Linked DNA regions of Drosophila melanogaster. The protein of the gene in region 2 purifies or fractionates together with the protein of the main gene of each other region. This does not show direct contact. Each region holds a gene or a part of one and is shown on either strand. Other genes may lie near its edges. The genes, in order: nSyb, lap, Csp and VGlut.

The links.
Region 1: the proteins of lap (region 2) and nSyb purify together in Drosophila melanogaster (affinity purification with western blotting, with the first as the bait; one study listed by BioGRID). This does not show direct contact.
Region 3: the proteins of lap (region 2) and Csp purify together in Drosophila melanogaster (affinity purification with western blotting, with the first as the bait; one study listed by BioGRID). This does not show direct contact.
Region 4: the proteins of lap (region 2) and VGlut purify together in Drosophila melanogaster (affinity purification with western blotting; 2 studies listed by BioGRID). This does not show direct contact.

What each region holds. Positions count from the first base shown.
Region 1 is NT_037436.4:1,630,551-1,640,046, forward strand, and holds the start of nSyb (neuronal synaptobrevin), read right to left. Parts: upstream 7,125-9,496; 5' UTR 7,083-7,124; intron 7,063-7,082; exon of another isoform or gene 7,009-7,062; intron 6,723-7,008; exon of another isoform or gene 6,720-6,722; 5' UTR 6,270-6,719; coding exon 6,268-6,269; intron 5,460-6,267; exon of another isoform or gene 5,416-5,459; coding exon of another isoform or gene 5,387-5,415; intron 5,135-5,386; coding exon 4,984-5,134; intron 4,910-4,983; coding exon 4,751-4,909; intron 4,688-4,750; coding exon 4,636-4,687; intron 4,358-4,635; coding exon of another isoform or gene 4,344-4,357; exon of another isoform or gene 3,955-4,343; intron 3,257-3,954; coding exon of another isoform or gene 3,240-3,256; exon of another isoform or gene 3,159-3,239; intron 2,956-3,158; coding exon 2,699-2,955; 3' UTR 2,508-2,698; intron 1,905-2,507; coding exon of another isoform or gene 1,717-1,904; 3' UTR 1-1,716. Other genes in the region: Mettl2 (methyltransferase like 2), read right to left, coding at 7,491-8,304, 8,359-8,522; Bgb (Big brother), read left to right, coding at 9,445-9,496. UniProt on the Drosophila melanogaster protein: Involved in the targeting and/or fusion of transport vesicles to their target membrane. Major SNARE protein of synaptic vesicles which mediates fusion of synaptic vesicles to release neurotransmitters.
Region 2 is NT_033777.3:7,184,271-7,190,788, reverse strand, and holds the start of lap (like-AP180), read right to left. Parts: upstream 3,796-6,518; 5' UTR 3,378-3,795; coding exon 3,242-3,377; intron 666-3,241; coding exon 523-665; intron 69-522; coding exon 1-68. Other genes in the region: CG10055 (uncharacterized protein), read left to right, coding at 4,218-4,483, 4,579-4,975, 5,032-6,195. UniProt on the Drosophila melanogaster protein: Assembly protein recruiting clathrin and adaptor protein complex 2 (AP2) to cell membranes at sites of coated-pit formation and clathrin-vesicle assembly.
Region 3 is NT_037436.4:22,265,519-22,275,061, reverse strand, and holds Csp (cysteine string protein), read right to left. Parts: upstream 7,681-9,543; 5' UTR 7,310-7,680; coding exon 7,275-7,309; intron 5,710-7,274; coding exon 5,571-5,709; intron 5,489-5,570; coding exon 5,336-5,488; intron 5,274-5,335; coding exon 5,142-5,273; intron 5,131-5,141; exon of another isoform or gene 4,842-5,130; intron 4,149-4,841; coding exon 4,086-4,148; intron 3,505-4,085; coding exon 3,300-3,504; coding exon of another isoform or gene 3,292-3,299; exon of another isoform or gene 2,694-3,291; coding exon 2,671-2,693; 3' UTR 1,764-2,670; downstream 1-1,763. Other genes in the region: Srpk79D (Serine-arginine protein kinase at 79D), read right to left, coding at 1-504; CG11523 (uncharacterized protein), read left to right, coding at 8,508-8,984; Ddx1 (Dead-box-1), read right to left, coding at 9,217-9,543. UniProt on the Drosophila melanogaster protein: May have an important role in presynaptic function.
Region 4 is NT_033779.5:2,397,633-2,403,902, reverse strand, and holds the start of VGlut (vesicular glutamate transporter), read right to left. Parts: upstream 3,609-6,270; 5' UTR 3,553-3,608; intron 3,153-3,552; exon of another isoform or gene 2,938-3,152; intron 2,797-2,937; 5' UTR 2,570-2,796; intron 2,014-2,569; 5' UTR 1,659-2,013; coding exon 1,609-1,658; intron 1-1,608.

The DNA.
Region 1 (9,496 bases), on a different chromosome or scaffold from region 2:
CGCCCAAAAGGACTCCGGGAAATCGCAATGCGATGCCAGGAGCTCCAGTGGGCTCTCCGTACTCAGGGGCTTCATGGGTGTTGTTTCTGTGTATACAATTGTTTTCTTTTCGGGTCTGCTTAAAATCCAAACAAAAATCGAAACTCTTCTAAACATTTGTCATTGGTTATTACATACATATATTGATTTATATCTGTTAATGGTTATATGCATGTGAAGTGCCTGGGTGAGTTGAGATGGACATTGAACGAGATTGATTCTAATAAGCTTTAAGGGCGACATATTGTACACGCTACGAATATTGCTAAAAATACCTGCATTCGGATTTGGAATTGGATTTCGATTTCGTTTTCGCCATTAATCTTTGGTTTTTTCTCTAATTAATTTCGATTTTGTTCGTGCCCCAATGTGTTGGTAGGCAAAGCACTTTGGGCAGGCGCTTGTAGAATCAATTAGTTAATACATTAAACGTACTGTATGCTGTATCTTCAGAACAAGTTGGGTACAATATGTGCTGAGAGCTGTGGCTCTCTGAATCTGAATCTGAATCTGAATCTGATCCTGAATCAGATTCTGATTCTGATCCTGATTGGCTATCGGTTGTGATGGGGGCAATGTGTTCGGGTGGAGTGTGTGAGATCTAGATATCATATCGTTACATACACGTACATATATATGCTCTAATTACCGCCTCGTCTATTACTCGTAACATTGAAATATACAAACATATATGTATGCCTCGTCGAGCTAACTAAGTCCTGTGGATAACCAACGTATTTTGTGTCTAGCGCTTAATTTAATCGTTGAACTGTCTGGATTCCGCTTTCAATCGAACCTTTCGAGCTATTCTCAAACACAACAGTAATGATAGCGCGCACGTAAACAAAACGCAGCAAATGAATCGCTTGTATATTTTCACTAGACTTTGGGATTATTAGCTTTTGCTGCTGGCTTCATTTCTTTTTTGTTTGTTGTTTTTTTTTCCAGCCGACTACGCTTGCTGTTTTTGTATAAGTAAACTTGCTTGAAAACATTTAACTGCCTTTTCTCTGGCGGCCCGTCGATTCAAATTCATCTTTTTGGATTATACATTTCGAATATCATATTTGCGTAACTTTACTTAGGAACAAAGCTTAGATTTCATTTCTTTGGTTTCGCGTCTGTTCCGAAATAGTTATGATTCTGTTAGTTTTGTCTAGTCGATTTGCTAAGGAAACTGAGTTCAAAGAGCTGCGAACATCGGGAAGCGACCGCCTGTCCTCCTGCTTCCACTGGCGCTCCTTGTTGCCAGTGCAGCGTAGAGATGCTAGTTCCGTATAGGGTGGTAGTACAGGGTAGTGGTTGGAGTCACTCGTAATATTCAAGTTCCATATATTTGTATTTGTATTTAGATTTGTATTTATATTTATAATTATATATACCGTTTTATGCATGAAATAATGTAACCATAAACAAATTAGCAACAACTTCAAATTGTCCGGAGCGTCTGCATTAGATTTAGTATTAATATTATGACGTAAGTTACTTAAAACCTCTCACACCAACTCGTGCACATCGTCTAAGTGAAAATTATTATTGAGTTTTCATTGCAATTCTCGAGATTTTCTAGTTTAACTGAGTTTTCCTTTCTTGGTTTTCTTTTGTCTTCTCTGCTTTGTTTTCGCCCGCTGAAGGAGCACACTAATCGAGAAACTTTCGTCCTGGCAGCGGGATTGCTTACACGCCGCCGTGATCGCCAGCTCCTGCCGATCCTCCTGCTCCTGCTCCGTCTCCTGCTCCTGCCGCATCCACCAGCGATGACTGTCCTCCGGCTGGCTGCTGCGGTGGCGGCGGCGGTGGCTGCATGTACTGTGGGGGATACTGGTACTGTGGCGGCTGCTCCCCGCCTATGAGTCCAAGTTTATCTGTTTTAAAATGATGCAAGAATTAGTAGGGCACGACATGTGATGGCTCTTTGCGCTCTTTAGCCAATCTCAGACAACGATACACGAGTATACGCCAAAAATATTACACTTCAAGGCTTAAAAGCTCACTCATGACGGAATATAGCAAGTGGACATGGGATGTGGACGGTGGGTGGGGGCGGACAGCAGGGACAACTGCATCGAACAGGTATGGATATATATATATATATATACATATATATTTATGTACATTTAGGCAGTCACTGGAAGCTGTCTTCCTTTGAGCCTCCCGAAGAGAAGTCCTCTCGCTTTTGGTGCAATAAACTTAGGCCAATTTTAAAATACATACAACATTGAATTGTAAAAATCAAATAATAAGGCACTAATCACACATAGACATCGATTAACTCACATACATGCGGCTAAGGCTGGCGGTAAACGATGAGACACCGTTTACAGCCAGCCGAAATAATATAAAACCAGAGGAACGGCGGAAACGGAAGTGGGAGCACAAACGGAAACGGAAGTAAGAAGAAGCGCAGGTGTCAAATTACTGGGTATGATTATTTGCATTGATATGTTGCCGTTTTTTCGTTTGCTTACAGTGTATCGGATTAGATCGATTTTGTCAATGGTACAAAGAAAGTGTGAAATGTTTTCTTTTCGATTTTGATTAATTTTGACTATGGTTCTACGGATGCGTCTTGGTGGTTAATCGATGGCTGATTAGTTTGGTTGGTTGGTTGGTTGGTTGGTTGGTTGAATGTTGGTTTTCAAGAGAGATCGTGAGCGTTCTATTGTCCAGTCGCCACTTCATTCGACGGACTCTGTGGGTGGTCGGTCAATTTCTCGGCCAATGGTTTCTCGAGTGTCGGTGGTTCAGATTTTAGATTTTGTGTATGGTGGTGTGGTTGTAGTTGTTGTTCTTGTTGTTGTAGTAGTTGTGGTGGTGGTGGTGGTGCTGAATCAGGTGCAGTTGCCGATGCCGGAGCCACCTGCTGCTGCAAGGCAGGAGGCTGCGGAGCAGCATTATCATCCGACATGTACGGTTCTACGAGAAATTTTTCGGTGAGTTCATGTTGTTGTTTAATTCAAATCGATTTGTTTTCAAAGCGAGCAGATAAAGATGATAACAATAAAGTATAAATATAGAAACGGTTTTGAGCGATGTAAAACAAAGGATTTATCAACTGGTGCACCTAGCAATAAATGTGGCGTATGAGTAATAAATAAAAGATTGCTCTCGCTGTTTACCTCACACACAAAGTGTTATATTGGGTAAATTGATTTGCTTATGGTTAATAAAATTGTACAAAGCTGAAGCTTTCTGTGTGATTATTCTTCGTCTTTCTCTGTAATTGTTCAAAAATATGGTTCGGTGTTGAGAGTGTGTCAAATCAAGGTGAAAACATTAAAAAAAAACTTAGGTAAATGAAGAAGAATGGCAGTACTTTATGCTTTTGCTGTGGTTCAGTGGCACAAGAAAGGCTGGCTTTTCCAATCCGAAGGCCGTTGCGCTTGCGTGGAGGCTTAGTAACGAGTAACGAGTAACGAGTTGCGTGAAGGCTTAGTATTGAGTAACGAGTTACGAGAAGGGACTACTTTTACTGGGGAAGTGGATTCAAGTTTTGTATTTTACACAGGACATGGCACAGTCGTGTGTCTGTGGCTGGGGTGCTGCTGCCAATATCAGAACGAAACAAACGAAAAACGGATACGGATACGGATACGGTTAACGAAACACTGAACAAACCACAAACTTTACGATTACGGCTTACGGGAGTTAGAACTAGCTAGCTAGAACTTAAGGTCCTACGGATAAGGCTAACGGGCACCATTGAGTATCGGTCCATCTCCGCCAGATCGGCTTCTGGCCGGGGTCCTTCCATTGTCGTCCAGACCCTCAGCCGCAACCCACATGGACGGAGCTGGCGGATCCGATACTCGGCGTGATCTCAACTTGATTACTGGTGGTGGTTAGGCAACGTAACGAAACGAAACAACACAGGACACGACTTTCAGTGGGCATCAAATGAAATCTTTACCGAACCTGTGCGTATGCTCGTATGGAACCAGATGATGTTGGGCTTGGGCATACATGGTACACAATACAAATACTCGCATATGTATGCCACTTAGCATTTAGTTATTGTTCTAGTGGTGGCTGAAGCGCATGACATGATATGATCGATCGATCTATAGTTATGGGAATTTCGCAAGGCATCTAGGTCGAATCGGTTGAGCGAACGGTCAGTTGGACTGTGAGTTCGCAGCTCTACTCATAGCAGTTGTGAATGAGTTGAATTTGGTTTCGGTTTTGGTTTCGATTTGGATTTCGATTGGTTCTTATTGGGTTGATTGATTGGCTTTTGATTTGGTTTCGATTTGCATTGCATTGCGGCTAAGAACTAAATTCTTACGGATTAGATAGTTAGCAATCTACATAAAGTTACCTAGAGAAAAAAAGTGGCGGAATTAAGAACGCAATTTAGATTCGGTGTGTAGATAAACGAAAGCGATTTGGGCCAACGAAATCAGCGCTAAATCAAGGCGAACTCAAAAGACAAACACAACTGGGTAACTGGGTGATCTTGAAAGTATCTTCGGTTCTGTGTGTGCGTGGTGAGTCGAGTGGTGTGGTGTGGTGTGGCGTGGGTCAAGGTCAGTTTCTCTGGGGTATGTGTGTCCCAGAAATGAGTGCACCAAGTTCGCCCAGGATCTGTCAACTTACTTGCAATAATGCCCACGACAACCAGGCCAATCACGCCCATGATGATCATCATCTGTGCGGAGAAAACAAAGATTGAAGTTCGGTCCGACAAGGTAACTGCCATCGTCGCACTTACCTTTAAGTTCTGAAGCCAGAATTTCCTCTTGAGCTTGCCCGCCTGCTGCTCAAACTGCGAGGCACCCTGCTGCAAGGCATCGGCACGGTCGTCCAGCTCCGACAGCTTGCTGTCGCGCTCCAGCACCTTCTCCACGTTCGTGCGCATGATGTCCACGACCTGGTCGGGGATTCAGGGTTGCAGTGGTTAATGGAATGGCTGATCTGTGATCGACTTTCAGTCCCGGAACTCACCTCATCGACCTGCGCCTGCGTCTGCTGCAGACGCTTCTGTGCCGCGATCTGCTGCGGATTGTGTGGTCCGCCCACAATCTCGCCATCGCCGCCCTCTCCGGCCGGGGCTCCGGCATTGGGTGGTGCATCGCCAGCTGGTGCAGCGTCCGCCCTGCGGAGGAGGTCGTCATTAGTCATCGGATGCGAGAACAAGAATAGCTCGGGCCAAGATTAATCAACTTCCAACGGGGGCTCTCGCATTAAATACAGTACTTAGATTACACAAAGAGTGGGTGTGGGTGGGTGGTTACGAACGACTATGGTTTCTAGCTTTAATCGAAATATCTCCAAGATACGTGTGGGCTACGGACAGTGCTGGAGTATAGTTCTAGCCAGCTACCCTTTAACTTGGAGAGACACTTACTGTTCCTTGTTCTTGTCTTTCTTTCCCATCTCAGACCCCCAAAAACTTTGACCTTTAACTCGGCTTCTGGGCTCTGCGGGGCCAAAGGAAGGGAAATTGTTAATTTTAAATAAAAGAATTACAATAGGCGAAGCTACTTATGCTGGACTAGTTTGTATGGTTTCTACGTGATGCATATTTTTTAGTGAAACAAACAATAGAGTGAAGTATCTCAGTATTATCCATAGTCATTTGGTCATTTGGTATTGGTTATTGTTGTTGGCAAAATGTTTTCATCGAACCGTATTTCCCTTTCCCACGACAAAGAAAAAGAAATCAATATCTTACCCTAATCCCTACGACCGGCGACAATTGGTTTTTTTTTTTTACCTACGTGGAGGGAATATTTTTGGATTTCTCAACTTTCCCCGGCTTTTATTGGCAAAATCAATTTTATATGGAATCAAAGAGCATTATCAACAACTTGTATGTGTGTATAAGACGAGCTTTTCTTTTGATCATGACACATATCTTATGTTTGGTTTCAAGCGACCAAAAGAAATAGGTGCAACTTAGTTTGCATGTCCTGACTCACGGGTGCGAATCGTGTTTTTATTGATTTTGCGGTGTGAGAGACTTGGCCATGTGATGCCACAACGTCATCGCCAAGTGATTCATGCCTAGCGAACCGAAACGGCAGCTGCAGCTGGCCCGTGTTCCTTTTACGGATTTTACGGGCGCGAGCACTTGGACAAATGACAAATGAAATGAGCGACCCATGCTGCGTATACTTAATGCGGCTATCAAACGAGCATTCCCTCTGTGACGGCGAAAAGCAAGGCGGGGAATCGAAACCCCCATTTCCCCGCCGGAAAACGAATCAATAACGTCCATCCACTTACATGGCTCTGGTGGCTGTGTGGTTGCTTCTGTGGTTTGGCTGGTGGTGCTCTGGTGGCCTCAGCGAATTCGGCTGTCGATGATTAGGATGAAGGTACTCTATGCACGATGCACTTGGCCTCTTTCACTGTCTTCCACTGGCGCAGGTCGGGATGTGGGATGGTCAGTGGGCGGTGGTGGCGTTGGTGGTGTAGGTAGTGGGTGGTGGTGCAGCTGAACTCTGTTTCGTTGTTTTTGTTCTAGAGGGTTGCGCTCTCAGTGCCGCTTCTCTCTCTCTCTCTCTGTTTCTCTCTCTCTCTGTCGCTCTTCCGCCAGAGCTTTTTCGCCCCGTCGTCAATGAAAATTCACTCCACTCCACGGGGGGATTGGCTGGATCTGGATGATGTGTATGTGTGCGGGTAACACTTGCCACGACAGCCTTTCGCAGGAATTTTCTGGCTCAGCGCTGGAACTGCTGCTGAATAGAGTGCGAAAATAGTTGCAACTATTTTTAGTACATCGGTTAATGCTTGAAATGGGCAGCTATGGGATTCTAATTGGGACGTAAGAGGACTATTTGGGTGGCAGCAACACGCCCAGCCATGAGGCATGTCCTTCCTCATTTCCGTTGCATACCCCCAGGGGCACCTAAGATGTCTTCAAAATGCAAAACGTTTTAAAAATAATTTCAAGTGCCCAACTGGCCAACGTGGGCTCAGAAGAAAAAATCAATGAAATTCTGCACGACAAGGGTTTTCGCTGACTTTGGTTGACATTTCGTTTGATCTTCGTTTTCCTAATCAATCAGTTTTAGCACTTTTGATCAGAATCACTTTACTTTTGCTCGGGCAACTTGAGTTTACAAAAACCAGGCTTAACTAATATTTTACGAATTTTTTTACGCAGCACCAGGAAAATTTTCACTTACGACGTTTTTGGCCAACTGCGAAAACTTGCAGCTTTCCTAACTGTTATGTGTATTTGGGGAAAAAGCTGCCTGGATGGCCAGCAGCGAATGGTGTTCCAGCGAGAAGCTTTTCCTTAGCGATTTCCAAGTGCCGATGGCCAAGGGGTGGGAAATTTAAAAACAAGCCGGGCTTTCCATCAAGAAAAAGAAATGCTCAAAGTTCTAGTAATATTACAGTTTGAAGTTTTAACTTTGTATTTTTAAATATATCGTGTAAATAATTATATCAATTGATTTGAACAAGGTTTAAAATGCACAGAACTATTCGTCTAAATTGATTTAAAGCGGTTTCCTGAACTTTGTCTGAATCCACACGCGGTACATTTTCAAGCCGCGACAGCGATTAACTTGCAGTCTTCGGTCCACAATGAGCTGCTCCTCCTGCAGCCCCGCTTGAGTCATCATACCCCGCAGTTCTTCCTCCGTGAAGAAGTACACCATGGTGCCGTCGCCTCGCACGTAGAAGTTGTCCTCCATACACTTGCCGCTCTTGAAGCGCAGCTGTGCCAGGTCGTATCGTCCGTAGTCGCGGAAGAGGAGCAAGCCACCGGGACGCAGGTAGCGATAGCAATTGTCCAATACCCGCTGCATTTTCTTTGGCTCAATTGCGGACAGCACAAAAATCATCACAATAATGTCCTGTGAGTTTTCCTCGAAGGGCACCTGCCAATGATCCAGCGTGGCATCCATGACAAACACCTCGCAGCGCTTCTCGTCGAACTGCCGTTGGCTTCGCAGGATTTCAATGGCCCGGGCGGAGAAGTCACATCCGAAAACCTTGAGCTGCGGTTCAGAGCTGTACTGTAGAAGGGGTAAAATTGTGTTTCCTACTCCACAGCCCAGTTCGAAAATGCTACGTGGTTGCAGTACCGCCGAATCCGCCGCCAGAGGAGCTAGTTCGGGGAACTCCGTAAACAGCCAGTGGCGATCCTTGAAGAAGCGGTTGTCGTGAATGCCGTAGAAGGAATCCCAAAACTTGGGGGCGTCTGTCTGAAATCGCTCCTTCTGCTCCGCTTCCATCTTTGAGGTCGAATTCTTGGCTACAGCCGCCTTCGCGGCCAGTTCCTGCTCTTCATCCCATTGCACGTGGTCCCTGTGAATCCATGTTTAGAGGGATTTTCATGAGTACTGAACGGCAGATAAGTACCAGGCGTTAAACTCGAACACCTCTCGCGCGTCGGTGAGCACCCGGCTGCCCGCTCCCGACGGTTTTTTACGCTGGCGAGTGTGTTCCCAACTTTTGCTGGCCAATCTCCGGAGGATTTGCCACCCATATTTACCAAGCATTGTGCTTGAAGACGTCGTCAGCATCCGTGAGCAGGCGGGTTCCGAACTGCGGTCGCTTTTCGTTCTCCGCGGCGGGGTTGTCACTCATATCGGACAGGAATGACGGTATATATCACCTGTTTGTGCGATCCAAATTATATATTTTGGTAAACACGCCGCCAGTGTGGCCGTGCACCGATCCAATAAAGTTAAACCGTTAGTATTTTCGAAGCGGCTCTCTTCCGAGCGGGAAATCGGATGTACCCGTTATCGCCCTTTTTTCCAAAAGCAATTGTGAAATATGTGTTCTATGTGTGTTTAGTTTGTGGCGTGTTGAGTACGCATCGAGTTTTTACCGAAACCCCTTAGAGAAAAGGGAAAAATAAAGTTGAAAATTGCGGGCAAATGTAATCGTGCTGCCAGACCATCAATAGTTTATTTTAGGGATGTACTCGTGACTGAATACCTTGGCGGATATCGTTTCATGGTTAAAATGCATGATATAAAAACTGGTAAATTAAATATGAAACCCGTAGGTAAGTAAAATGAATATGTATTGTTATGTTTGCGACTTATATCCATAATTCGAATGAATAATAAGAATAAGTTTTTGGTGCTCGTGCCGTGCTTTTGCTTCCATCGCTACGTTTTGACTTCTCCACTATTTCCCAGTGGCAACGCCGCGTCAGTTGGTATATCAAAACCGCAAACCAACCTTTTTGTTGTATTGTGCGTTGTTTTTTTCGACGGAGGCGAGAAATTTAAACAATTAGCATTCAGAGTGCTAAGATACAAGAGCTTATTGTGTATACGCAGAAGGCTCGTCGAAGGAGCGACCAAAAGAAACCCATCCAGGGTACCGAGTTCCAGGGATTATTGTGTGCACGCAGCGGTCTGCAGAAGCACCCATAGAAACATACCCTATTCAGCGTTCCATCGAGCGGACGAATCGCGAAAACCCGTTAAAATGATGAACGAGGCGGCACTTGCCAATATGATACCCTACGACACCATCGGAT
Region 2 (6,518 bases):
GTTCCTTTGTCCAGAAAGGAGCTGAGATTGAATGTAGAATTGCTAGAGGCAAGATATTGCATAAATCGCTGAAAAGATTTAGGAAAAACAATAGGAATGCTGTTAAATATTATTTAGATAATTATAAATCGCAATTAAATGGAGGGAACTATAAAAGTTGATGTGTTAAAAATTTAACATTTATTTATTTATTTTTCAGAGAAGACAACTTTTTATGTCACCAAAAAAATTACTAAGAAATAAAACTGAACGAACAAAAACTGAAAGTAAAATACCACACAACGATATACTTGGTCAGAGGTCATCCCAAAAGAGTAATTCTGCAGTAATAAGTTGCCATTAAAGGTACAAGAAGGAAAATAATAAGAATCTCATGATGTACGTGACCTATTCATCTGTATATTAAATCAAACAAAATAGATTACCTCATTTCGAACGCTTAAATGAAAGTAAAAATGTATTTGAAATACGCCCCTAAGCTTCGCACAAACACTAGATTCCGATAAATACACAAATACAAACCTCATTGCCATATGCCATCAGATGATGTGTGGTTATCAGCGACTTGTAGACGACGACCCAGTTGGCATTCTGTGAACGCTCGATAAGTAAATTGGCCAGATGAGGTATCGACACATTCGGCTCGTTTGTGCAGTGCACCAAATCTGCAATTAAATAAAGGTATGAAACTTATATTAACACAAAGCAACCACAAACTAATTTAACATTTTACATTGATTTAAAATAATAAATGAAAATCATTTTATTAAGCATAGCTTTATATTAGTTTCTTAACGCATATCCATACAGTAGATTAGAAAACAATAAAGAACGTTTTTTTTTTTTGTAATTTTCGGTTAGTGAACCATTTGCTCTTTTCCTTAATTTTGTACGTCCAACTCAACTTTACTTTTGGTTGCGATTAACTTTGACTTGATATTTATTTTCCCAAGCATTTATTGGAAAAATCAATCAGATTCGATATAACCGCCGACAACTATTAGTTATTATCCTCTAGATTTATTCAACAGTATATTTTTTTTACGAAAACTTAGTTCATATGAGCAAAACAACAAATGTTTACATGTTTAAGAAGCAACATAAAACTTTAAAAGTCAATTTATCTGTTCCAGAAACAAACAACGTTTCTGTAAAGATTATTATTATTATAATAACCGAACCTCCCATAAATTTAATCATCTTGTTTTTTGCGTCCCGTTATCGGTCGCGACTCTTAGTCGTTGTTTGCTTATCTGCGCTTTAAGCTTGCAGCCGCCATTCAAGCTAAATACTGACGGAAAAGTGTCGATGATAAGAGCTGAATCCCATTGTGTCTACTATCATGCGCTTCCATTTGAATCAATTCCCATTTCGGTTGGAAAGTGTTTGTCGCCGAGCAAGAAAAAATTGCATGGGATTCGAGGGGCGTTGCACATTTCACAAGCCATCGCAGATGTTCGCCGTCCTTTTGCTTCATTTTGTTTGGCTGACGGGCGCCAGGCCAGTGATTCATTTATACATAAATAAGAACAAATTTCAATAAACAGTAAATGTGGAAAATTGATCGGTCCTTGTAAACGAAACTGGTGAGTTTCTTAACGAGCACAGTGGCCTGGGGGTGTCACTTTATGACAAAACGTTGAAATCGCTGAGTAGTTAAGACATTTTGAATGAGTTATTTAGTTAAAATTCGTATCCGCCCTTTTTGAAATCTTCACTGATTCACATATATTTCGAAAATATTTACAGTGCTCGGATACCAAAAGCGATTGGCGACTTCTGTAGCGTAGTTATCGCTGGGGTCAATTCGCATGCTTATGCTCTTAAATACATAAATAAATAAATGTGTCGGGTATCGAGACTCCACTGTAGTGGGGGACCATTGATACTTAATTTTAATTATTATTGCCCACTTGTGTAGCTGGTTGAAATATTCTGGGATCTTTTCAATCGGTGTAAAGCTCATTAAGTGCTGTTGTTTCCGTGAACACACAACTGGTTTTATCATAGGACAAAAGTTGTTAACAAAAGAAAATAGAGAAAATAGGTAGAAGAAATATATTTCATGCTACCTGCTGACGTCTTGTAAAATGTACGGACTGACTTTTAACTCAGGTTTAATTTATTTAGACTTTTGGTAACTGAATTGAGCATAACGTTTTGGATAAAGTAATCAACTTGAATAAACAGCACATGTGGCCAAATTTTGGGTTATATTGGAAATTGGTTTGCGGCAACTGCAATACAATGTTTATGTGACAAGTAACGCCCCACAATATTGCCCTCTTTTATTCCCATTTACTCGTAGCCATATCTGATGAGTCATCTGAAAAGTGCCAACAAGCTAAATAAAAGGGGGTCAAAATGCGAGCAAAACTAGCCAAAAAAACAGATTCCAACGGGAATGAATGTCGTTAGGATATGGAGCTCTTTAGAAGTATTTGCAAAATTCAAACGTGTAAGCAAATCCAGCAAATTAGGGAAGACTCTTGCATAAATTTAACAAGCAATGACACCGTGACAAACACAATCCCTGCTTTCGTAGGCGTTTTAAGCCATTCAAAGCCCCTACAAACACACGTGCACCCGTGGGAAAGTGACGTAACATTAGAGAGAGAGAGAGAGTGTGTTGGTAGAAAGAGAGGGGAGTCCAATCAATGACGAACGGAGTCCACAAACACCAGCAGCTGAGCCACAGATGCAATTTGAGGGTGGTGGTTTGTGTTTGTGGGACTTTGTGGACCGTAATCAGTGGTTTCGTTTTCAGAAAACTTTGTGATTTATCGCACAAAAACAAAAGGCACGTGAAAATGGAGCGAGGAAGCCAAGAAACCCGAACTGGTTGCATCTGAATGTTGTTGCTAAATTACTTTTGCAGCGTACTAACTGTGCCGATGGTTTTTATATTTAGGCTACATTTAAATTTTTTATTTTCTTTGCTAATTTGTTAGGCACTCCTTACTTTAGTATATTATTCATTCCAATTTTTATTATTATTAAAATTTAAGTTAATTTCTAAACAGATTTTATTGCGACTTATGTTTGCAAATAAAAATAAATTAATTTTAAAGCGTTACAAAGTAACAATAATATTTTCGTGTGTTTGATGGGTACATTTCCACTAGTAGCACAAGGCTGTGCCTCTTTTCTCTCTGTGTTATAACAAGGAAATGTAACGGTGATTTACGCAATGAAAGACCAAGAGAGTGGGCAAGGGAAAGAGATAGACAGGGCAACTCACAGTCCAAGTGCTTCTTCTTCGGGCCAATGCATTCCTCCGTGGTGGCCTTGCAAACGGACTTGGCGAGTCCTTGGCCCGCAAGGCTGTGACGGGCGGCCAGCAGCCTGTCGTTGATCGTTTGCCCTGCCATGGTCATGATGAAGCTGTTGCTGTTGTTGTTTCTGCTGCCGCTCGCTGGTTTTTATTTACTTGATTAATTTAATTATGCACCAAAGGAGCTGACCACACCGACACACACACACACTCGAAAGCAGATACAGAGAGAGGGAGAGAGAGACACACACACACACGCGTATGGGGCGAGCGAGAGACAGAGAGGTATTGATTGATTGAGAATATTTCGAACGGGAAAACTCTGCTATGCGAGCCTCACGATTAAACTAACAGTAAAGATTTAGTGGTTCCTACGTCACAATCACTACACAATTTATCGCCGCGGTTTATGCGCTCTCTAACCGGTGCCTAACGCTGAAACGCGATTTTTTAATTCTCTATTTTTCCTCTGCCACAAATCGATAATGGCGACTGGCAAATGGAGCGAGCGTATGAGCAATGTCCTAAAGCGTCCACAAAGTGGAGCTAACGCGTGCAATCGACTTGAGTTTACGGCGTTAGGTGGGAAAATATCGATTGCCATAACGTAAGCGAATACGAAATAGCTGAACTTAGCTTTTACGATGTGTTCATATAAGTTCTGAAAATAAAAAAAAATAATGATAAATAAATAAATAAAAATATAAAATATTAAGATACTATAAATAAATCTTTTTTTATAACTTAGCACTTAAAATTCCCCAACAGCAGTTAAAAAGTAGCTAGATTTGTCGGAAGTGTAGCCAAACGTAACGTAAGCTAAGGGGCTGTCAACAGGAATTTTTAGTTTCGAGTAGGCGGTCATACTGGTCATTAAAATAAATAAAATTATACTAAAAAACAGTAGTTAGCACAATCAACAGTCTCGTAATAAAATTGTAAGATGTTGAATGGACAGATTGCACACAGTTATTTGGAGAACTCGTGCACGCTGATCATACCCCGCCCGCCTGTCCTGAATCAGTCCTCAAAGTCGGCCCAGCCAGCAGCAGCTGCTGCTGCTTCTTCTTCCGCTGGTGAGGAGTTTGGTCAGGAAGCGGGGTCGGGGTTGGCGGAAGCGGAGGCGTTGCATGTGGATCGCATAAGAAACTGCGATATATTCGTTGACGCGCACGATCTTTATTTCTACGCAGATGTTAAGCTGTACAAGTGAGTCACATCCGGCAATCTGTCGTGCCCATGGTGGGCCATGGTGGCGAAATTCCAGCGATATCATTGCGTACTTGTACTCCCTTTTCGGACAGATTCCACAGCCGTCGCACCTTCGACTTGCGAGAGCTGAAGACGCTGTTGATAAAGTTCAACACGACAGAGAATCACTACCAAATTTGCCTGCGCTGTCTGCCCCTAACAGCGGGTGCCCAGGAAGGACCCGGTGGAGAAAGAGGCGGAGGCGGTGGTACGGGGGATGCAGCCAAGCAGTGGAATAGTCGCAAAGAGTACATAGCCGCATTCCTGCACCTACCCACACTGAGTGCCAATTTGCCGGACAAGCAGCCTCTGGTGCAGGAATGGAAACTCAAACGAATCACCGATCAGTGCCAATTGCAGCTCGACGACCACGAGCGCACCTACAAGCTGACCAACAATTTTGGGTACGGCTATGCTAGCGAATACAGCGGACCGCTAGACCTGAGTGAGGTGAGTTCAATTGGTTAACCTGCTCTTCCGCGCACTAAACACAGATGTTTTCACAGTTGGACAGAGCCACGTGCCGCGTGTCGGAGCCACATCGCATGAGCCCCATCCAAAGGCGGCAAGAGCGCGTGGTCGATGAGATGAAGCGCTTTTCCCGCGAGCAGTACAAAATAAATTTTGTGGAGCTACAGGTTCCGTCCGGTCACCAGAATCCTTTACGCTACAAACCGAAAATCTACGAGACTTCCATGACCCAGGAGCAAGCGCATCTGCTGCACAACATCAGCCGAATGCAGACACGGGAGCAGCAGCCGTGCGACGTTTTTCGGCAAAACGAGATCGATTGCGGGCTGATAAGCATTCTGTTGGCCATATGCTATGATGTGCGGACGACGAACAATGAGCCGACGTGTGAATCGGGCTGGACGCGAAGCATACTGTGCCCGCTTTATTGCTACTTTGAGCAATTCGACAACTATCGGGACGTACTGGTTGCCTTCCTGCGGCGAATGATCACCTACCCGCTGTACCGCAATTTCGAGTTGGGCCGCCAATGTGTACGGGATGCCATAGAAGTTTTAAAGGGCGGTCGCAACTGGTTAATTAATCAGCTGCTGCTAACGCACCAGCAGTTCGCCAGCAGTGATCCCAGTCGCGATAGCTTCAACAACTACTATTTGGAGGACTATATACGATATGTGACCAGCCCGAGCGCCTGCAGTGATGAGCACATGCGCCTTCTTGCCCGCAACCTTAAGAACGTGCTGATGGACGTAAACAAGCAACACTTGGGCCTGGGAGTGACCGAGATTGAGACTGAGCTGATCAAGGAGCTGATGCAGGAGATGCGCATCGATGCGGGAAGCCAGGGTTCCTCGCCGCAGCAGCAGCATGGCGATGATGACTTGGACCTTGATAACGATACTTCTGGACAGGAGGACGAGACTACCACTGATGATGAAAGCGTCATAACTGACTCCTTCTACAGCGTGGACATGGACATGCGACTGATAGAGAACGAAATTGTATATGAGGATGACGAGGAGGACGAAGATGACGATGAAGATGGAGATGATGATGAAGATGGGGATGGGGATGAGGATGAGGATGAGGATGAAGACGAAGACGACAGCAGTTCTTCCACAACCACCAGTAGCGAGGCGGAGGGAAACAGCGTCATCGAGCAGTGCAGCAACAGTGAGACAGCAGCCAGCACCACATAAATTGCCACTTATGTCGAGTTCGGCAAGTCCTGCTCCTGCCTTGCCCAAAACAAACAAGCAACACAACCAACTTAATGTCAAAGAACGGAGGCTAAACAGTGATTACTTTTAAAATTAAAACAAAGTAAAATACGAAACTAAAAACCAAGCCAAGTAAATGATGTAAGTTTACACAAGAATACCCAAAAAAGAAGAACTTCTTATATCTTAATTGTACAATAATTTAACGAAAAGCAAACTCAAAGATTTGTTCACGCCAAATGCGAAAAGATATTTGAATATTTTTTCCCCTTTGCTCTACAATTACTTCGATTATAATTACA
Region 3 (9,543 bases), on a different chromosome or scaffold from region 2:
GTGGAGGTGGTGCGGCGTGGTGGCCGCAGGCTGAGTACCGTGAAAATGCGGATAGGGAATGCCGTGGGTGTAGGCTGGAGCGCGCGACAAGTACGGCGTATTGATGATCTTGTCGTCGAAGCTGCGACGGAAACTAAAGCCCTTCAGTGAGTTGCTGTAGTTTCGGTGAGAAAGCGGCGAGCTGCCCAGGTCAATGCTGGCCGCCGGGCCCAGGATCCCGGCAGTTAGACCGCATCCTGAGGAGGCGGTAACGCCGCTGGCCGTCGCCGTGGCGCTACCCAGCATACTCAGCGCAGGTGAGGTGCGCAGCTGAGGGCTGCCGCCCACTCCTCCGCCTGCACCGGAGGCCGTGGTGGTCGAGGTGGAGAGTGGCGGCGAGATGGCACTCAAAGTGGAGATGCCGCTGTCACTACTACATATGCCGGCCGGCAGTGACGTGTGGGTGGGCGAGATGAGGTGTGGGTGGTGGTGTTTGCCATTTGCGGCACCGATGAGGCCGGCCATGCCGCTACTGGGCAGTACGGGAGCCAGGATGCCTCCCGGGATGAGTTTCCTGATCTGCGCGGGGCTGGTCCTCGCCCTGTCCTAATGAATGCTGGGAAGCTAGAAGCAGCTTCCTCGCGTCTTTGTCCTCATCGTTGGCCTGCGCCCTTTGTTCCTGGTGAGGACTTCGTATATCATTCCTTGTGCGTAGGAAAATCAATGAAGGGACGCGCTTAAAACATGCATTTTAAGCAGCGCTTTTCTCGCTTTGTAACCCAAATTGCGCATGAAAAAAGTAAGGCGAAAATCCACACACGCACGCACACACTGCCACGAACTGGTTCGCGATAGAAGAGGGTTTTTCCACGGTCTGCCCTCAATTGGGCCTATTGGATTCCCTTTCGCCTTTCTTCGATGCTTTTGGCCAGGTACGTGCCCGTAGTCTAGTTAATAGCGGAATTGATTTATCCTCGACAAATAAAGCGAACACATCACATTTTCCACTTTGTGTTTTTGGCAGAAGCAGCAGCACGGAAAAGTCTTCTTTGTCCGCACTTGGCTCGAACTCTCCGACGGTCTGCCCTCCGGGTTCTGAAGCGGAAAACTCTGCGGCGAAGTTCAGCGATTCCGGGGAGCGGGCAAAGCGCATGTGCCGGCTGTGGCCCGTTACTGTCCCAAAACAAAACAAAGCCCGAGCGGAGAGAGTGAAAGCTAACTGCAAGCAGCTGGCGTCGTCGAAAGTTCCATCCCCGAAAATCAGTTTGTTTACCATCCTGGCAGAGCTTTTCATGGGCAAAGCCGACTAGGCAATACCCTTTGTAAAACAAAGCGGTGAGTTTGTATAATAAATTTATTTCGGCTTCTTCGTGTTAGACCAGAATACAATTGAAATTTGGAAACAATTGTTAAGTTTAAATTTAGTTTACTTAGTATTTTTGCTTTGACTTGTACGAACAATAAATACACACGCAAGACCGTAAAATGTAATTATTAATAATTGAATTTTATATATGTATGCGTGTTTATACTATAGATGAGCCGGCGACTCTCGGATCCCGGCCCTAGACCCAGGCGCCCAAGGACTTTTATCCTGGCCCGGAGCTGATCGGCAATAATTGATGTCAATGATTTAGAATGGGATACTACAATATAAAAGTTAATTACTGCTGGACTAATCGCATTCATTTACATTTAAAAGCGGGTTAACAATCAAACAAAAATTAATTAGATTCAATTCAATTTTGAAACAATTTGGAATACATAAATATGTGCAATACTTTCGGGGGTTACAATTCAACTTTTGATTACTCGTATTTAATTGTTTTATATATAGAGGGGATTATTAATATCTGTTATATAATTTATATTTGCGTTAATTGGATCGCCCTTCAAAGTGTCCTCTTCTTCGTCCTCCTCTGTTTAACTGTGTGATGCTTAATTGTTTAACTCGTATTTACATTTGCATTAGAATCGGATCGGAGCAATCTGCTGGGCGCGTCGCTCGACAATTCATCCTTTTTACATAAGTAGTTCTGGCTTTAACAATTTAGTGCAAAATAACAGAAACAATCGGTGAAGAGGAGATCTCGAGAACAAATTAGCTAGACTAAGCGACGACACAAATGCCACAAACTAGATACACATATCATATACATATATATAATTACAGTGCCTCTCTTCGCGACTGAATCCCAACTCACGGGCTAAGCCGCAAGGGATCCGATCCCCAAGCAAATGTCTAGACAAACTTCCGATATACAATTTCATCAACACCGAATGGTGTTTTGGTGATTAGCATGACTGGATAGGTGGAGATGGTGGCTTCGCGGCTTGGCTATCGATTCGAGTTGTATAGTGGTACAGCTGCAAGGCTAGATGCATGGCTTGAACAATGGAATTGGTGAATCGATTGCCCGAAGTGGACCAAAATCAACCTGACTGACCGGAGGGCGGCCACGAAGTTCGATAGTTTAAAATTAGAGCTAAGTGCTACGGCTTAAAATAAATACATTGGTTTCTATGTTTACTCGCTTCAACATATCGCGCATTTTAAAAACAACACTAATAATTATGAAATAAATCTGGTTTTCTCTTCTGTTACGATTTAGGGGCTTGTGTTTTCTGTGTCTGTATCTGAATGTGTGGTGTACGCAAGCACCCGGGTCTTGACTCGCTCGCAGCACTTGACTAATATTTTTGATTAACCATATCTAGAGTGAAGAGAGGGGGAGAGAGAAGTAGACAGTGATAAGTGAAAAGAAATCAAAATGTACGCGTTGCATAAGAAACGATAAAACTAAAATCCGTCAAACTTAAGCTACATTCTTTGAATATGTCTTGGATGGAAATTAAAATTTTCATTTCATTTAATTTGCGAAAGCTTGGAAAACAATCTTGAAAGGAGGTCTTTAAAATGGGGGACTTGAGTACGGCTGGCGCAGACCTAAGGAACGAAAGGCTGAGTCAATCAATCTATTCATTGGTCATCCTGCAGCTCGGGCAGTGTGTGGTAATGTAATTCAGCATGCAGATCTAAGTAAATGGATCCCATATTCGCGTGGACATGTACAGAAAGTGACTAAAAAATACCTTGCCGGATACACGAGCTTACTGCTAAGGGGGTGTTGATCTGATCGCTGGACGGGGTATGTCGACTGGTGACTGAATGCCTTCGCCACCTATCCAGCGACCGAAGGAAACAATATTTGTTCGATATATGCACAATAACAAGTTCGATGGTCAAAGACGCTTTGTCGGATTGCCAAACTAGCGGAGGCTGGCTGTGTGGTTGACTTCTGGACCAATTGCTTATATACCTGGCGTGTAAGTGGTCTGCTCCGTTGTGTTTAGCGACGTATTCTCGTTAGCTGCTACAGGGGCGCCGGTGAAGGGGTTTACTCCCACGGCTCCACTGGGCGGCGGCATGGCGAAAACAGGCTGTCCTCCGGCCTGTTCCCGCGGCTGTGAGGTAACGGGGGCTCCGCCCGCACCCAAGTTAACGTCGTCTAGGTCAACGTCCTCCTGCGGGACACAAAAGAGTGGGATTAGGATTTCTGCCGGTATTTTAGTTTCTGCAGCAAGTTTTGAGAGCTTGGAGGGAAGGTCCCTTAACCAATGTTTAGTCAAAAACTTTCGGTGGGCTGCCTACAAGCCATGTATGTACACTATTCTACGGTTTAGTTACGACCACTACATTACTCTTGTGCTGATGGATAGAAGGACCCTTCAAGCCAAATACTACAAAATTAAAATCAGCCAGATGACAGCATTGAAAGAAAATCATAAAACATTTACCAAGTATTTACAGCAGTACTTTCAAAAAAACGACGTTTTTTTATTTTGTCATCTCTTCCTCTGTTCTCTCGATCAAGTTAGTTTTGCGACTGAATGTTAGCTTAGTAAGACGTGTTCCCTTGGAACATATAAATTTCGATTGGTTACCGTTTAAGTAGAGTTCGGATTTGGTTATTGGCTTTGTGTTATTTGGGTGGTGGGTGGGTGGGTGCCTTGAGCCAGGTGGAGGCGGTAGGCAGGCCGCAGGTGATCTTGCACCTTTTTCATGCGGTACTCGTGCTGGTATTATTTTCGATTTGCATACTTACAAGGCGTGGCGGCTGTCCCAGATGCGTTGGCATATCGTTGCCCTCCCGATTGCCATCGGGGCGCTGACGGCGAGGTCGAGAGCGAATGTGTGGTGGTTGTGGGTGGTAGTAGGTGGTGGATATGATGAGTCGATCGCAAAGATTTTTGAGAAAAAAAAAGAAGTTAACCAAAAATAGAAACGTAAGTCTATAGCTTCTGTTCCTTAGCTTGCAAACTAGCAAAGGAAGAAGACTTCTAATCTGGGTGGTTTCAAAATAAATTTGTATGCGCAATGGGACACTTAAAAAACAAGAAAAGCAATCGTGGAAAAAACAATAATCGTTGCACTGTCTGTCTCGAGAAATCCGAGCGTGTATGTGTTGACGTTATTTATTATTTTTTTTATGGAGAGAGAAACGTTGGAAGCATTTGATGATTTTCGTGAAGTACATATATACAAAACAAACACTAACAATAAATTATACAAAAATTGTTCGATGGATCGGAAAAGTTTTAGGGTTAGTCGTGTTTACCTCTGGTCTCAAAAATCAGTATTCTGATTACTTCAGTGTCTGGAGAATTGATAATCGGAAACCAAAACCAAACTTCATACTTACCCAAAATAAACTAATTACAAAGCAGTGCAATCAGAGTAGTGTTTGTACGGAGTAGTGTGAGTAAGGGAAAACCAATCGAGGGAGATGGTGTGCCAAGATAGCTGATAACCCAGGAAAATTATACTAAAAAATGGTTAGGCGTTTATTGTTCGGGCAGCTGTTAAGTAAGCGTTGATGTCAGATGTAGGGGCTCGTTTTTGACTAAACATTAGCTTCTCAGAAGGAAAAATGATACAGATCTCCCCACAAAAATCATCAAAGTTGGTTTGTTAGGTTCGTAATAGTACAGTGTGTGGGTGGATGGGAAGCATGCGTTAAAGTTAATGTTTTAGCTTTGCACCGGATTGGTTTTCTTGTTTTCTCTTTTCTTAACTAAATCAAAATGATTTCAGTTATTGGCGGGCTGTGTTGGGGCGGGTATTATATTTGGACTTGGCTAAGCCAAGTAACTTCACTCACATTCAGATGTGAATACTGATCGTGCGACTCGTTGACCGGCGGCTTGAACTTGCCGCAGCAGAAGTTGCAACAGCAGCAGCAGCAGCAGCAACAACAGCATCCAGTGATCACGGCACAGCAGATAACCACCGCCTGCAAGGAGAATCAGAGATTAATTAATGTGCCTAGGCATGCGAAATACCGCGATTCCTGACCTTTACAGCCGGTGAAGTGACCACGAAGTATGCGTTGACATTCTCCTCGCCAAACTGCTCGGCTATGTACAAGCCCAAAGAGCCGTAGTTGTCGTATATGTTGCGCTTCGTCTGGTCGCTCAATATCGAGTGGGCCCGGTTGACTTCCTTGAACTGCAAATATATTAATATATTTATATTATATATTATATTAATATATTAATACGCATGGACCCATTTCTCGGAAATATTTTACCTTATCAGCCGCATCCACATTGTCCGGGTTCTTATCGGGATGGTATTTGAGTGCGAGTTTCCGGTAAGTCTTTTTAATATCATCTCCGGTGGCTGTCTTCGGAAGTCCTAAGATCTCGTAAAGCGAGTCGCCAGATGTCCTAAATAAATGAAAATCAAGTGAACATGGTCTCTGTATTGCGTAGGATTACTATCCACGTCTCCGCATTTGGAATTAAAGGTTGATAACCACGCACAGGTAAGACCTCAGGAACCACTGCGTGGACCTGCCTAGCGCAGTTGCACTGTGCCTCCGACATTCCTTCAGCTGCGTATGTTACATTCTGACAGAGGGCGATAAGGCCCAGCCATCGCAAGTAGTATTGGACTATGACTCACCGCAGCAACAGTTAGCCGTGGCACGCGATGGGAGCTCATCCGGGCGAGCACTTGGCCCTCAGGGCTTGCCTGCACCCACGGACTAGGCGTTGGCATTGAGGGCGTCCAGTTCGAAAGCAACTGGCATTGTTGGCTCTGCAGCAGGGTCGCGTGCAACATAAATTGCAATCTGTATGGATTTTCTTGAGCAGGTGGGTGCTATTTATAAACTTGGTAAGTTAAGGGGGTTGGGGTGCAACGCTGTGTATGCCTAAACCCGCTCTGAGAATCTGCGAGCTGATAAGGCGGCGAGCGCTCGACAAAGTGGTTGAGGACCACGATGATGAGGGTGATTACAGGCTCAAGCGGATGCGTGCCCCAGGGACACTGGGCGGTGGGCGACTGCACAGGGCCAAGGACATTGGCAGGCATCATGACAATCTAAGCCAACTCGAATTCGCCTGGGCCAAACTGAAGCGGTTAGTGCTGGCATTACTCATATAGGGTACAATTATAGAGACGGCTAACGCGGCCGTAAAACTTTCTGTCCGATAACGGCCAGGCTGGTTAGTTAGTTGGTTGTCGTGTTATTGGATCTGTAGGTCTGTTGTTATCGCGCACTTATGCCGGAATCGGTATGTGTTGCACGAAGACCCAAACATTGAACAATTTAAATAGAACAATATTTATAAAATGAAGTATTCGACTCATTTTTTCTCTATTAAACAATTGAAATCGTGCGATTTGCGGGCAAAAGAGGTGTGGCCAACCGAGAAGAATGCAAGAGGAAGAGGAGAAAGGAAGAGGAAATTCTCATACTGTGTAGTTATAATGTGTAATTCTAATAATGGTCTGTATGTATTACATAGCACATATCTGAATGATATCGGCTCGAGTCTTGATCGATGATGTGCGTAGCCTTTTTTCTACCTTTTACATTTTCCTGCCTAATGCAACATAAGTTGAAACTATGCCACTAAGATTTTAACTAACGATTATTGAAATCAAATAAAAATCGAATTCCGTCAAATGGCCAAATTTGTCCTTGGCCTTGCCCAGGACGAATTCGCTTGTCCGAAATCAAACTCCAGCCGCAGCTGCCCTCCCCTTCCCACTACCGGAGCCCATTATTACCCCTGACCCGGTTCCTTGTTTATCCCGACGTGGAAAGGAAAGTGCCTGCTGGCTCGAGAAAACTTCTGCCGCGAAAAATCAATTTCGCGCCGACCGCGCTGCCTGCGCGCAGCTGCTACTCACACTCGCGCACGGGCTGAGTGTGTGTACTCTGCCGACGGCGCGTGTGTGTGCGCCGTGGAGGAAAAATGAAGGAGCACTACAAAATACTTACGACAGTTTTCTCTTGTCCATGCCAGGTGCGCTCATCCTGATGCCTGTGTCACTTTGACTGCGAACGGGTAACTTGCACTAGCGATCGCTGTCACACGCAGTGAAAGTCTGTGCCTGCCAAGAACCACAATCTGTGCGTGTACTCTTATAATTGCAGTTTTTGACGTCCGTACCGATGCCTCGATTCTTATTTTTTTCGCAACGAAATTAGAGATGGAACTGAACCGATGTTCTATCTTATCGGTTTACCTGCCGACATCAATGATTTCCAGCTCTGGACTAACACGCCATCTATCGCAACATTAATAGCTGCTGTTACGGGACTCACTGTAAGAAATCGCATCGAAAGTGTGCACCAGAGAACTGCAGCAAGCCACTGGCACTCCAAGTGCACCCGCTAAACACTGTTGTATCTAGGCAGCCGGGTGTTTTTTGACACTCTACTTGCGGGAATAAAAAATATCCGACAGTTTTTTATTACGAGCGCAATAACCTTTTCTGGTGAGCGACTCACAAGCAACGATCGGCCGCAGGTCATTTTCTGTATGCATAAAATTTGTATGGGCGGAAGCGAGATTGTCTAAGAAATGAAGGGTGAAAGGGAACACCCAAGGAAAAGGTCGTGCACGTGTTTTTTTTTTTTTGATGCAACCCATTTCGCAGAATATTTTTTTATTAATATTTTTTTATTTAAAAATTAAATTAAGTTTTTTAATTATACAATTACAAAGTTAAATAAGGGAAGCATATATTAAGAACTAATAATAAAATAAAAAAAATTGTCTATTTCGTTTTTTTTTAAATTATTTAATTAAATTAAAATTATTTACAGTTTTGTAAAAAGAATGTAAAAAAGAGGCTATATACAAATTTTGGACTTAATCCATAATCTATACTATGCACCCCTCCATTCCAATTTCAATTATTTAGGAGTAATTTATACTTTCGATACGACAGCAACCGTTTTATATCGGTACGTCTTACGAACTTCTATTAAACCAAAAACTAAGCTAAATTGCATGTAAAATCATTAATAACGATTATATTCAGTTTGGCCGGAACGCCCTGCTCCGCTTCATCGGTCAAAATGTACTAACGCGTGGCACACGCCACACAGCTGCTGTGACACATATGGAGTAGAGTGGAACGACATGTTGCGCCTGTAAAAGGGAATCAGATCGACTGGGATTCAATTAAAAGGCGAGCCGCAGAGCTCCGAAGCGATTCTGTTAGGATGGGCGAACCGAAAGCCACCGCAGACCCTGGGGAGGAGCAGGCCTTCAACTGCGAGGACGAAGCCAACGCCATAATTAACGATGTTAAGGCTCACGTCGCTGAGATTTGCATCTCATCCAAACTGGCAAGCGATGCCACGCAAATTTACCTGAACATCCGGACTATCGAGAGCGCCACTTGCTGCGTTCAGGTGAGCAGTCGTGGCTTCAAGATCGTCTCCTCCCAGTACGACACCATAGACGAGGACAGCCGGATCTCTGCACTGCTTCGCAACGGACAAGAGCAAGGCGACGACGAGGAGGAGGAGATATTTGAAACGCCGTACGCGCTGCTGGACAAGATCAGCCCCCGCTACGTCGAGTCGTTCGGCAACCAGCTGTGCCAGCAGCTTAGAGCGCTGCAACAGATGCGAACCGAGTTCAACGAGGAGGACGAGGAGGAGGAGGAGGAGGCGGAGGAGGAGGAGAAGAAGTGACGGTAACCGGACTCCAGCTTTCAAACGAGGCTGTTTACTCTTTAGACAGACGATTTTAATGTTAGTTTAATTAAATGTTTATTTTTAATAGCAGAGCTTGAGCTCCGACTTCCTACATATACAAAATTGTGTGTTTGTGCCGCAAAAGTATTTCCGCGTGAGTTGGTCTTGCACTTCTCAATTCACCACATCCTTTCCTTGCATAGCAAACAAATGTCGCTCCAGATCCGCGTTAGACCTTAAGACGTTTCAAGAATAAAGATTGTGATTGCAACTCTAGCTCCGTCAGTTTGCGTACAGTTGGCACCAGCTGCTCGACGTGGTCTTCGTAGCCGCTGCCAGTTCTTAAATTCTTTTGACCGTACACGACCTTGCCGTCGAAGTCATTAACTGGCACATCCATGGTCTTGTCCACCTGCTGGATGGTGATGTTCAAGTGGTCCTCAACTTCGGCCAGTAGGTTTGGTTCGTTGTACCAGATGCAGCATCCTCGGACTTCGGTTAAGTTTGTGTTGTTGCAGCTACGGCCGCGCGACTTGCACCACTCGCCGTGGTACCA
Region 4 (6,270 bases), on a different chromosome or scaffold from region 2:
CGCCTTGACCGACTTTAAGGCTGACGCCAATTTGATGCCCTTCGCAAAAAGGGACTGCGTTATGCCCATCATTAGGTCTGTTATAGGACAAAAGAGGATTCGATTACCATTTTGAGGTAATATATTAAGATCTTGGCATTGAAAAATCAGTCACATAAATATGAATGATAACAGGGTTTTAAAGGTTTTTAAATAGAAATAGCTAGTTACTTTTCAATGATTGACTATTTATTTTTTTTTTTTTATATATTCATTTTAGAACATATCAGCGTCGCATTTTTTAGACACCAAATTTTTTGAAGATGAGCCAAACTATCCTTGGCGCTCAAGTTCCGCATTGATTGTCAGTAAAAATGTTGCAGACTTTTTGTCGCCGCCCAGATTAAGGATAACTGGCGCCACAAGCAGAAGGCTTTTGTACAATTCGCCTTTGACTTTAACGTGGCCACAAAACGCGACCATTAGAGATGTAAATGGGGCACATTCTCAGATATATATGTATATGTAGAGCTGTATGGAGTGTATTAGTTTGTTTGCCCTGACAACTGTGATGAAGATGCTCTGGCACTGAGGGGGAGTGGGAGAATGGGGGCTTGTCAGCGACACGACCGCGTCTTCAATGGCAATTCTAATTTCATTTTCACTAGCAAGGATAAAGGAACTCCTTGAGCACTCCCCCAACGAGGCATTTCAATTTCTTCGCGCCGAGTGCCACTCGAGCGCTTCAGCGCCAGGTCCTGTTGGCAATGGATACGGATACGGAAACGGAAACGGCTCGCAGCTCGTAAAAATCAATTTCATTTGCCTTAAGCGCTGCAGCAGCCTTCGTCGGTATGCAACAAATTCCGTAATGAAAGCGATGTGCCACCTATTGTTCCAATTTCTAATTTAGCACTCAAGGTCCTTGAGAAATCAGACGAGGTGTGCCCATCAAATTGCATACCACGACCACACACATTCATCGAGTGTTTGCCCAATATGTCCCAGTGGCACGACTTTATTGCGTTTCGTCCGCAATCGAAGGTGCCGGAGTTGAAGTTCCCGGACACGTGCTGCCAACGTGCCCGGAATTCCTGACGCACCGGTGAGCTCGTCCGCATGCCACTGCGTTCGTTGTCACCAGTGAAAAGTGCCAAGTCCCAAGTCCTTAGAATCCCTATAAACCCCCTCTAATGACTTGTTAAGCATGCCAATAATTTTACAACTTTCCGGGGGGGGCGCGACACGTGCCGAAGTTTCGCGACGCCGGCTAGTCGCCAGTGCGTATCAATATCGGTACATATTTACTGCATTATCCTGGCATGGTCAAGTTCAGCCAACCACGAGCACCGACCATCCTTGCGTTAAATTAAACTCTCTCCCTTTTGTTCTCCGCAGGTCCATTTGATTGCAATCATATTTCATTTCGGGCATATTGCCACCCATCATCGCTGTACACTTGCCAACAAAATGAGGATATATTTTAAATATACATATAGATCTGCTTTCTATGCTTAAATATATCCTCTTGCTGGTAAAAAAAAAAAACCTTTATAAATCTGAATATTCTTTAAGACCCAAACCCTGCTGTCTGGTGTTACTAGAGTATATCATATCACATCGACTCACCCGCCAAACACGCCCGTTGCCTTCTCCTTAAACGCCGTCAGACCCTTCATCTTGCTGCTCAGCTAGTAGTCCTGATTTTCCCAGACGCCTGTCCTCACTCCGCCCCTGCCTCCGGATCAACGAGTCCTGCTCCTGCTGCTGTCCTTTCGCCCAAGTCAGCGTCTGTTGTGCTTCGTTGCCTTTGCGCCGTTATCACTTGGGCGCATAAATATATTTTGTTGCCTACTTCACGGCGGATTGCCGTGTATATAAGCGTAGCGAATCGGCGGCGGTTAATTTCCGTGAAGCCAGCACAAATTTGATGACTCTATTTTCGGGTTGGCTCGTTCTCTCAGCGGGGGATTTTCACTTGGTCGCCATATGATTTCGATTCTCGTGGAGTTTGTGCATTTTCATTTACAGTGCCTGCAAAAGAGATTTGTATGCGGCTATTAATGGGTCCGGCAATTTGTGTTCTGCTGCTGATAAGCAAAAGTCTCGTACAATTTCATCATTTTGCACATTTCTTGTAAGCCGCTTATGTTCATAAATTCACGAGAATTTCGAAATGATTGTGATGAGGGGTAACTACTGAGCCGGCAGAGCATTTTGTAAATATTTCTGGCATTGTGAGCGGTTTTGATAGCGTTTTATGCTTCATTTGGTGTGAGCATGAAATTTGACACCTCTTTTGATTTGGGTAATCTCTTTCGAAAGAGTTAGCAATGTTACGATTATTGGAATTATTAGAATTACAATTTATAATAAGAAAACAAATTCAATGGAAATAATCATAGGTTTTAAGTTTGTGCATTTTTTATACTAGCTTATTTCTTGTTAGATCAGGAATTTCGAAACTAAATGTAAAGTATATATGTACGCATTCTTTGGCGTTTTTCACAAAATTCTTTAGATGATTCCATTGGAAGCTCCTCCCCCAAAACAGTTGTACTTTTGACCTTTGGCCACAACGCCTACTTACATGCCACACCAGAGTTACGTAATCCATTTCGTAGTTGGTGCAAGATTATATAATCGGCCTCTAGTCGTAACTTAAGCACAGATATTTTTGGTGATTAACTTGGCTTAAATTATGTTTTAGTAGACAACGAAAATCGTTTAATTTATTTTGTTGTTGTTGGTTAGGATATCACAAATAAGGTACACAGATAACAGATTATATAGCTTGATTATTCACTACGCGATACGCTGCAAATGGGATAAAAAGGGATATGGAATTAGGTGATTTAATATAATTAGAAGAATTTTTTAAAACAATATATATCTTCTTGGTAATGTGTTAAAATATATCGTTATAGATGTTTTGTATTTATTTATATAAAGTCTCACATTTTCTAAGCAACACTCGCCCGCAAAAATAGAAATGAAACTAAAGTGAAAAACTTAAAACTTTGGATAAACCAATTAAGAACTCAGTATGTGGGACGACAACATCCAGACAGAGTTTGACCACGAGACCGGCGGCAGGTTGTCTATGGAACCGACGACGACGACGAGGACGATGGTGATCCGAATCCAACTCTGTCTGAAGACTGTGTGACGTCCAACTCAAAATCAGCCGCGTTGTGGACCTCCAGCCAAAGATCGGCGGAGGACAGGTGGCAGCGGAAGATGGATACATAAGCTGCCATCGCGGCCTGGAATGTATCACATACAGGGGTATATGTACGGAGGGACTAGTGATGAAGCGAATGTGGGATGGGGTGTTAAAGGGGTGGGAGGAGCGTAGTATATACACTGGAAATTTTCAACCACTGGAATGTGCGAGATTTTCTTTTCAAGGGTATTACGAGGCGTTGCCAGAAAAACGTAGATTTCTCAACTTCTAGCCGGAGGGCAGCACTTTTTCGAAACACTTGCTATATTAGCACGATTATTCGGATATTTTGAACTATATTTTCTGATTTATTGGTATATTTTAGATGTATTTTCCCAGCTATATACCCGCAGCTCCAGGCTCGCTTTTTGGCCTCAGCAGGACAACGCACGAAGTGAAACTAAAAGCGCCCGCATTCGCCTTTCTTGTCTGCCCAGATGGATGTCCTGCCAGAGGATTATGCTCCTCCGCAGCATAATCAACGCATCCGTCCCGTTCGCACCCGCTGTGGTGAAAAGCTCGCGACGCAGGCGACAGCTGCGCAGGCTCGAGAATCCTTCGAGAGTCCTTCGTCCTTCGGCATTGGTTGACGGCGAATGGCAACTGTAGCAGTTGAGACTGGGGACAGCTGTGGGGGAATGGCACGCCACCTGGCCAAAAAGAACCAATCAGAGGTCCTGGTACATGGGAATGTCTTTCTCTGGGTTGGCATGCGAATCTCAGTCGTGCGTGAAATGCTATTAACATGTTGCCAGGCCATTTTCCATTGTTTTCCTCCTGGCACACAGACGTCCTGCGTCCTTCTGCCGCCTTTTTATAGAATGTCAGCCATTTTGAATATTTTCCCCTGTCTGCATGGGGGCTCAAAATAGCTCCAAACTTGGTGAATTTTTGGAAAATGCTACGATTTATGGATGAGCGTTTCAATATGAATCGTGAAGTCTGACCGGCTACAAATAAATAAGTCCTTTGCTCTTGGCTTTGATCGATTCGAATCGGACGTGATGCTTTTTAAATTCTCACGTTTGGGAGCTTGAAATCTATCTAATGGATTATCATTAATTACTGGGCGGTCTAACGGTAAAAAAACATTTGATTCATTTTATTAGAATACTCTAATGGATTTTTCGATCCTAAATTGATCTTATTTAAAACCAAAGCTAGTTGTCTTTTATTAGCCCCAAGAAGCAGAATGATTCGTTTATTATTATTCGTTATTATATTCAAGGAAAGAGAAAAGAATCTCCAGTTCCAAACAACACATATACTTATTAGGCTCAACTCAACTTGAATATTCTCAATGGCCACTTTAAGTAGCTAATAATCCTGGTCAACAGTGTGAGCAACTGCCTCGATTCTCATCAACCACATCGATTCACGGGACAGAAAAAATCCATGCCCCATAGAAATCCCCGCTTCCGTTCGGCGTCCCATTCCAGGATCCCCTCCAGATGTCCTGGCCACGTTGCGAATACGACGCGTTGGCCTAACCCTCATAAGCATAAAGCAAACAGCCAACAAACAGTTGCAACTCAGCCAAAAGCTATAATAAAGTTGCGGAAGTAAACAGCAAAGCGAAATAAACAAGAAGCGGGACGAGGAAACAGCCGAGCTGGGAAATGAAAGGAAAGTCAACAGAACGGCAGCGGGATTTTCGCATTCGAAAGGGATACAGATACATTTGCAGATACAGATACTACGTCTACGGCATGAGCCAGACTTCGGGGCAGACAGATTTCCACAGACAAGACGGCGGCACAATAAAAGCATCTGCGATATTAAATTTCGAAAAATGCCCAATCCGTGCGGCGTTTTACTATTTAAACAAAGCGATTAAGGGTGCGTGGCTAGCGGCTAAAAGCGCCATTCACATTGATTGACGTAAATGAAGAATAATCGAATTGCGAATTGTGCTCATAAAACTCTAAACTAAGTGGCGACGTTGTCGGCCGGATCGAGTGTCAGTCAGTGCCCATCGTGCACAGTGGAAAAAACCGAACATTCAAATTGGTTACAAGCTCAATCTACAAAAGTGCTAGTCAAATATATATATTTTTTAAATTACAATAAGTTCTATATGCATATGAGATTTGCAAGCTATATTCATCTATAATTTCGACAAATTTATAATATTCCTCACTCAAAATGATTCTTTAACACCCACTGTGCTCAAATCGGTAACCTTAGCTGTTGGCCCGCTCTCATAAATTGTCAGCAGAAAAGTGTCAAACTTGAGTTGACAGTCCCCCGGACGGAGTTTCGTCCTGGAATCGGGCGAGGACTTCCGCTGGCCTCCCAGTTCCCATCGCACGTCAGCGGTAATTAGTGCAGCTTCGGCAGAAAGTCGTCTTCAATTTCATTGCGCCAGCGTAATCATCATTATCCTGTTGGGCCTGTTGTGTCCTTATCCACGCGGCGGTCTCCCGTCGTCCTTGCCGCTTGCACTAATTACAAAATAACTTTTGCAGCTTTGTCATCTCTGTGTACTTTTTTCGGGAGATTCCCCACGGTGCGTATGATGTATGGCTTTTCGTTGTCTGATTTATGAGTGAATTACGGGAATGGGCGTCGGTGGATTACTTTCGGTGAAAGGGTTTCACGCGGTTTTAATTACCAGCCGAAACTGTGACGACTTTAAAAGCTCTCGAATTTCAGCTTGAAATCGTCAAAAGTATGCGAGTGGTTTTCCCACCGAGGCGGGAAATTGATGAGCTTCTGTGGATTCAGCAGACTCATGCTGTCAATCCACATGTCCACCCACTCAATCATCAAACTAAACGCTGTGCTCGTCGATAAGCGTGGCACATAGTAAGCGGAGTAACATTTCGAATCCTTGGGACTGGGGGAATCACGCAGGTCGGGGGTTAAGGGTGTGTCGCTGCCCAAAAACGATTTCTGAGATTTAATATTTATTTTTGTTTGTGTGCAAATAGCTGGAAGCGTCTGAGATATGATGGAAACTGCGAGGGGCGAACTATGAAACGGGGGATTTTGAGATGTCTGTTCGGTGGGAGATTTATCTTACAGCTTCTGTATTTTTTGGATTTATAGACACATGAAACTAT